2 linked regions of the Oryzias latipes genome follow. The protein of the gene in region 1 purifies or fractionates together with the protein of each later gene. This does not show direct contact. Links are inferred from orthologs where the notes say so. Each region holds a gene or a part of one and is shown on either strand. Other genes may lie near its edges.

What was found. The genes of interacting proteins can lie anywhere in the genome.
Region 2: the proteins of etv6 (region 1) and lrp6 purify together in Homo sapiens (affinity purification with mass spectrometry; 3 studies listed by BioGRID and IntAct, counting the BioPlex papers as one, with this or other methods). This does not show direct contact. The link is inferred for Oryzias latipes from reciprocal best matches to the Homo sapiens genes ETV6 and LRP6.

Annotation. Positions count from the first base shown.
Region 1 is NC_019881.2:2,234,364-2,238,384, forward strand, and holds the start of etv6 (transcription factor ETV6), read right to left. Parts: upstream 2,801-4,021; 5' UTR 2,588-2,800; coding exon 2,561-2,587; intron 1-2,560. UniProt on the Homo sapiens protein: Transcriptional repressor; binds to the DNA sequence 5'-CCGGAAGT-3'. Plays a role in hematopoiesis and malignant transformation.
Region 2 is NC_019881.2:23,640,492-23,643,697, reverse strand, and holds part of lrp6 (low-density lipoprotein receptor-related protein 6), read left to right. Parts: intron 1-191; coding exon 192-403; intron 404-576; coding exon 577-767; intron 768-1,369; coding exon 1,370-1,579; intron 1,580-1,647; coding exon 1,648-1,773; intron 1,774-1,844; coding exon 1,845-2,081; intron 2,082-2,248; coding exon 2,249-2,365; intron 2,366-2,666; coding exon 2,667-2,900; intron 2,901-2,991; coding exon 2,992-3,128; intron 3,129-3,205; coding exon 3,206-3,206. UniProt on the Homo sapiens protein: Component of the Wnt-Fzd-LRP5-LRP6 complex that triggers beta-catenin signaling through inducing aggregation of receptor-ligand complexes into ribosome-sized signalosomes.

The DNA of each region.
Region 1 (4,021 bases):
TCAAGCGGTAGAGCGGGTCGTCCAATGATCGAAGGGTCAGTGGTTCAATCCCCGCTCCCCCAGTGAACCGTTCCTGTGTCGTTGAGCAAGATACTTCCCCGTCCCTGCCTCCAGCGTGTCTCCACTGCTGCATGAATGTCCCGGTGATGATCATGTCTCACAAGTTATATCGTCTTCACAATTTTGATCAGTAACATCCCATTTTCCTCACATCCCGCAGCCCTAATCTGAATTACCAAAATGACTGTGAATGTCATATTTGAAGACCAGAAATAAACTGGAGAAAATGTCTGTCGGAAAAAATACTTTCATTAACATTAAACCTGGGTTTACATGAAATGTTACATATTAGTTATTATTAAATGCTTGTGGTTAACTTCTCACTTTAAATCGTGTGAAGACGAAAATAACACAAATAGTTATCTTATTCAGAAGTACAAATCATTGTGGTTTTGATCACACAAACAAATCTGTTCATTTCGTTTCACAGTCAATATTTTAGAAATGAGCTGGAAAGTGTCAATCGGAGGGTCCTGCGACGGTGTCCCACAGGTTTACAACGGCTTATAACAGAACGTAGCCAATCGCAATCAAGAAATTGCACACAGTTTTCAGAAAGTGCTGTGGGCTGCATATGATTGATCTTGTGACAGGAACCTGCAGCCGTTGGAACTTTGAACACATTTGGCCCATGGTCTGAAATTTGAACATGTCTGGTAAAACATGAAATATATTTTACTTCATATTCACATTATTAGATACTGTCACAGATTTCAGCGTGTGATAAAACACTAGCTAACAACATTTAGCGGGTTTCTTGTGTAGAAAACTTGCTTACCTTTCATCTGTTGTATTTCTTTTACTTTACTCAATCTCTGTAAAAGAAATTGTCTGCTTGTTTTTGTAGATTATGCATAAAATGACTAATTCAAAGGATGTAGTTACACTACAATGACTTAAAAGTCAGGAATGTCTTGGAATTCTGACATAATTATGTATTTTTGTTCCAGGAAACGTTAAGGAGCACGGGAACAAATGGACTGAACACGCTAAGATCAGCAGGTGACCTAGCTGGTACCACTTAGAACAATATAGAATCAATATTGTTCTAGTTCCAATGATGTTTTGATCTATTGTCAAAGTGTTCCCAGTGGTCTTATGATTATGATTACGGCAATCTTAGCCAAAATCCAACAACCGGTGTGGTTTTCTACGACACAGTCCTGCAGAGCATCAGTAGTTCATTGGAAATTTGCCTCTGAGTTTTGGGTGAGACTGTTGAGGCAGAGTAGGCCTGCCCTTTGTTTACACTCTCTACCGCTAGCTTACAGCCCCAACCCAACATTAGCAAGGCAACAAAAAAAGAACTGCAAGCAATATTGGAGCCATCCAGCTGACAGTTTAGATCCAGACTCCAGCTCGGATGAGGAAAATAAAGACGTTCATGGATCCATTTGTCTGCAGGTGGATGCATCAGAATGGAGCGGAGCAGGGAGCTTATGGCCCGTCGACTGTAGCACGAACGCCACTGCTGCAGGTTTTTTCAAACTGCATTTTTTCATCTGCTCCTGATTCACAATGATCTGAATAAGGAAATAATCCGAAAAGCAATTTGAAGCCTAATTTTATTTATATGTATCGTCAAGCGTGAGAAAAATGCTACAGGAACATGCTAGAAAAAGCAAAAACACAAATTTGAAAGGAGTGGGTCTCTCAGAATATTGGACATGTGCATCTTTTTGGGTTTTTGTACGTTTGTTGAACGGCAACTGACATTCTGAAATGATAATAAAGACGTTTTAGCACTGAAAATTATTTGGATTTATTGACAAAAACACAGAAAACAGTTCAACTAAGTGATCCCCTCCTTAATTCCAGTCACTTAAACATGCTATCGTAGTGGTGGTATTTATTTTAAAATTTATTTGCAGTTTTTAGCGTAACAAACTAAAAGCGTCATATTTTAAAACCCCTGAAATTCTATTGAACTTCTATAGGGACAACCAACCCCACAACCTGAGACCACCAACACCTTGTTGGGGTCGGTGGTCACATTGTACCAGAATGTCTTTGATGGTTTATTACTCCTTAACAAAGACCTTGGTAAAAAAGATACATACTTAAAGTTAGGACCTTAAGCTTTCATTTAGGAATCGCTGCTTTTCAAGATGAGCAATGCAAAGACGAGTACAAATGGTGACCGACAACCCCTGTCTCCCTTAAAAAAAATGATGTAGAAAAGTGAATTTAGATTATATTCCAAATTGTGCGCGTGGGACGTTCTGTGCACGCGCGGAGTTTGACACACGCTCATTGGTGACTTTTGTCTCTAATGTACCGCCATAAAACACTCCGCGGAGCTTAAAAGTGTTTGTTTTCGACGGTTTCCCGTCGTTAAATCCATCCGCCACAGTCACGACTTGTGTCCGTGAGGCACACGCGCGCGGCGAGCAACAGATGAGCGGCAGAAACGCGCGCGTGCCCCAAGCCGCGAGCCTCAAAGAGTGTGTGGGAAGAGATGGGGGGGGGGAGGGGGCACAAGGTGGCGGGTCGCAGATACCTTGTTCGCAGCGGAGGGTTCGGACATTATCTCCCGTCAACTTCCGTCCGTCCACTTTCCCCGAGCTGCGTGGCTCCTTTCCCGGCGGCAGCGGCAGTCCGACCGCTCGGCTCGTAGCTGTGGGAGAAGTTCTATTTTCTTCCCCCCCCCGCCGCCGATTCTCTTTATTTGGTCCGGTCCATGTGGCGGTGCCGAAAACTTCTTTTGTCCGCGCGTGTTTTCCTTCACATGTCGGCAGCGCGCTGGTTAATAATCCCTTCCTGGAAGAGAGAGACACCCCCCTCGCGCGCGGTGTGTGTCGCTCATTGATCTGGTTGTGTGTAAAACGGCGAAATGACGTGAATTCCCAGCAACGAGCCTTGCCCCCTTTTAAAGGGAAACCCGAAGCAGGAAATCGCAGCGGGTCGCTCTGCAGACACGCAACTGCCGTCTGAGAGACGAACGAGAAAAACCGCGCCGTTGAAGGGCTTTTAACCATCGTGCTTTGCGTTGCATCGACCATAAAACTAAACTGTCATGTTCAAAATAAGGGAGGAAAAAAAGGTGGAATATTTTTTATACCTCTAAAAAATGCCGCACAATGAAAGGTATAACGTCATAAAAATATTACAATTCATGCCGCAAAAGTATATTAACAATACATTAGATACAATGTTTTGAAAACCATGACTAAACCTGCAGTTTAAAATTACCAATTCAAATACCATTTGTTTTCATGTCTGAATCTCTCGTGCAGCCAACTATTAGTATCCATAAAAGACATCTAAAATAATCAGTGACATGAGATCACAGGAGTCAGTAAACTATTCATGACTTCTAGATAATGCAATTTAAAATAAAGCACCAAACCTTCCTGGAAACCCGAAAACAACAACACTCGATCAGGGGTTTAATTTCCCAGCCTAGGCAGACATTGTGTGTCCCACGCTGGTCATAAATGTAAGAAACGTGTATGTCACTTTGAATATGAGTGTCTGCTAAACAGCTAAGTGGATAAAAAGCTCCATTAAAGCTTGTTTGATACCATTTCCAACCTTTTTTAGGCTCATGCAGACAACAATATTATAGGATACAATTGTAAAAAGAAGTATTGAAGAAATCTGGATACAAATGAAGAAGAGGAACAGCAAAATGCAAAACATAATTGGTTAACGATAAAACTAAACATGGCAGTTTTTCAATATATAAAGATGTGCAAAAACTCTTATTTGTGAAATGTTTCTCTTAAATTTTTGGAAAAGTTTAGGAGAGTTTAACAACAATTTTTTTTCGAAGACGAGCCAAAAAAGACAATTATTGGATAATTACAACTGTGTTCTAACTCCCCCCAGATTGTTGGAGCTAACATTCTTGGATGTAGAGTTAGAAAGCAAAAGCCTACTGAAAACAGAATTGTAATTGTTTAATAGTATTAACACACAGTTCTGCCTCTACTGCCATGTGGTGAAAATCTGTGAAACT
Region 2 (3,206 bases), about 21 Mb from region 1:
CTCCTTCATTCATACTTTTGGACCCCGTTGGGTTCTGGAGGACCGCTCGTGTGTGAATCTGGGTTTTTGGAAGAGGACATTTCCAGAGTCTCCTCTCCTGGACCGAGAACTTCAGGCTCTTTGCACTGAGACCTGAAGCATGTGGTTCTGACCCGCAGGCTCCTGTGACCCGTTTGTGTTTGCTGTTCCAGTGCACGACGGTGGTGTCCAGCTCCCTGATCGGACCGGGTCAGGTTCTGCAGCTGTACGACCTGAGCATTGACATCTTCAGCCGCTTCATCTACTGGACCAACGAGGCCACCAACGTCATCAACGTGACGCGCATGGACGGCAGCAGGGTGGGCGTGGTTCTGAACGGCGAGCAGGACCGACCGCGGGCCATCGTGGTGAACCCAGAGAGGGGGTCAGTGACCTTTCTGTTTGCACGTGCACGCTCCTGCGCTTTCATGCTCCCCGTCAGTTCATTGGAACTCCAGAACTGTCTGGAAAGATCAAAGTTCTGGTTTGGTTCTGACCGGCCCGTTTGGACCTGTACCTGCAGAAAACTCAGGCAGCGTCTCCCCTGCTGTCCCACAGGTACATGTACTTCACCAACCTGCAGGACCGCTCCCCCAAGATCGAGCGGGCGGCGCTTGACGGCACCGAGCGTGAGGTTCTGTTCTTCGGCGGGCTGGGGAAGCCCGTCGCCCTGGCCATCGACAATGACGTGGGGAAGCTGTTCTGGGTGGACTCGGACCTGCGGCGCATCGAGAGCAGCGACCTTTCCGGTGAGTCTGGGTCACAGTGGGATCTGCTGAATGCATAGAGATAGGTCTGCTTTTCAAAATAAAACTTCCTTCAGAGTAAAGTTGGTGGAGCAGAGAGGAACAGGTTTCCTTTGGCTCCATGTCTTGGATTGTTGGACGCCCCTCATTCCACACATTCATCAGATCCGTCGTCTACCTGCTGGTTCCTGGCCGCCGGGCTTTGGCTTCTTCATCTCTTGAAGTCTTCATCCTCACTTCCTGCTGGAGTCAGGATGCTTCATGTGGCCGTTTGCAAACAGCAGTGAAGTCTGGATTTATGATCTGTGACGGTTCTGCTCGTTCCCTCCTCGCTGTCTGACGTAAAACTTTATTGAAACTGTCAACAGTTTACACTCAGAGGCTCTGGCATCTGAGAATGTGCCGCGGGGGAGCGTCCGACCCTGGAATCTTCCGTTCTGTTGGGTCCGGTCGCTGAAGAACTTTTTTTCCGTCTGTATAATTCTGAGCATCCTTGTTCCTCCTCTTGCCTCCCCCGCCTCCCCCTTCAGCTCCTCTCCCCTTTTGTTGCCTCCGTTCCTGAAGTTTTTCCTTCCCCGGTGCTTTTATTTTGTTAAATCCTTCAGGAGCCAATCGGATCGTGATCGCAGACTCCAACATCCTGCAGCCGGTCGGGCTCACCGTGTTCGGAAACCATCTGTACTGGATCGACAAGCAGCAGCAGATGATCGAACGCATCGACAAGATGACGCGGGACGGCCGCACCAAGGTGCAGGCGCGCGTGTCCTACCTGAGCGACATCCACGCCGTGCACGAGCTGGACATGAGGGACTACGGTGAGTCCGGCTCACGCCACCAAAATGGTTGTGCGAAGGCGGCGGCCTCAACCTGGTTGACCTTGCAGGCAAACACCCGTGCACGTGGGACAACGGCGGCTGCTCGCACATCTGCATCGTGAAGGGCGACGGGACAACGCGCTGCTCCTGCCCCGTCCACCTGGTGCTGCTGCAGGACGAGCTCTCCTGTGGAGGTAAAGCGCCGCCCTGACCCGCACGGACGGGGCTCTGCGGCACCGCCCACATCACCTTCTGTCGTCCTCAGAGCCCCCCACCTGCTCGCCGGACCAGTTCGCCTGCACGTCCGGCGAGGTGGACTGCATCCCGCAGACGTGGAGGTGTGACGGCTACTCGGAATGCGACGACAGCAGCGACGAGGAGGACTGCCCCGTCTGCTCCGAGGACGAGTTCCAGTGCGACAGCCGCCAGTGCATCGACCTGAGCCTGCGCTGCAACGGGGAGGTCAACTGCCAGGACCGCTCCGACGAGAACAAGTGTGAAGGTGAGCGGGGCAGAGTGGCGAGGACGGGGCGCGGCTGGCGGGGGGGTCCGGCAGAAAAGCACTGGTCGTCAAAGTGCTGAGGCATGATGGGCTGTTTGACCGTCCCGGACTTCGCTGGTCCGCTCAGAAGGTTCTGGATTAAGATGTTCTGATGTTTGCGTCCGCAGTCCCGATCCGGTGTCCCGCCGATCAGTTCTCCTGCTCCAACGGTCAGTGCATCGGGAAGCACAAGAAGTGCGACCACAACATGGACTGCAGCGACAACTCTGACGAGATCGGCTGCTGTGAGTCTCCATGGCGACACGCCTCCCTAAAGCTCCGCCTCTGCTGTGAATGTGCTACATGCTAACAGGAGCTGCATGCTAACAGGAGCTACACTTTAGCTCCATGCTAAACGTATACTACATATTAATAAGCTAATAAGCTACACGCTAACAGGGGGTTAAGTGCTAATGGGGCTGTGTGCTAACGCGAGTTACATGCTAACAGCGGCTACGGGCTAACGGGGGAGGATGCCAAAAGTTTTTTTTTTGTTTGTTTTTCCTCCTGTTGGCTCCACTAAAACGTTTTTTTGATGTTTGTCAGACCCAACAGAGGAGCCGCCGCCTCCAACCAACAGCACCATCAACTCCATCGTGGGCGTGGTCATGGCCTTGTTCGTGGTGGGCGCCATCTATTTTGTGTGTCAGCGCGTCTTGTGTCCCCAAATGAAGGATGACGGCGAGACCGTCACCACCAACGACTTCGTGGTCCACGGGCCGTCGTCTGTGCCGCTGGGATATGTTCCACATCCGAGTTCGCTGTCCAGCTCGCTGCCCGGTGAGCACCGCGCTCTGAGCTTCAGACGCCTCGTTTCTGCGTTTTTAGGCTCCACCTCCTCCTGACATGACTCGCCCTCACCTGTCCACAGGTATGACCAGAGGGAAGTCTGTCATTGGTTCCCTAAGCATCATGGGCGGGAGCAGCGGCCCGCCATACGACCGGGCCCACGTCACCGGGGCCTCGTCCAGCAGCTCGTCCAGCACCAAGGGCACCTACTTTCCTCCGGTGAGGCCCGGCGCAACACGCCTCCCCGCCGCCACCACCTCACAGACGTCTTGGTAACCTGCTGCTCTGCCTTTCAGA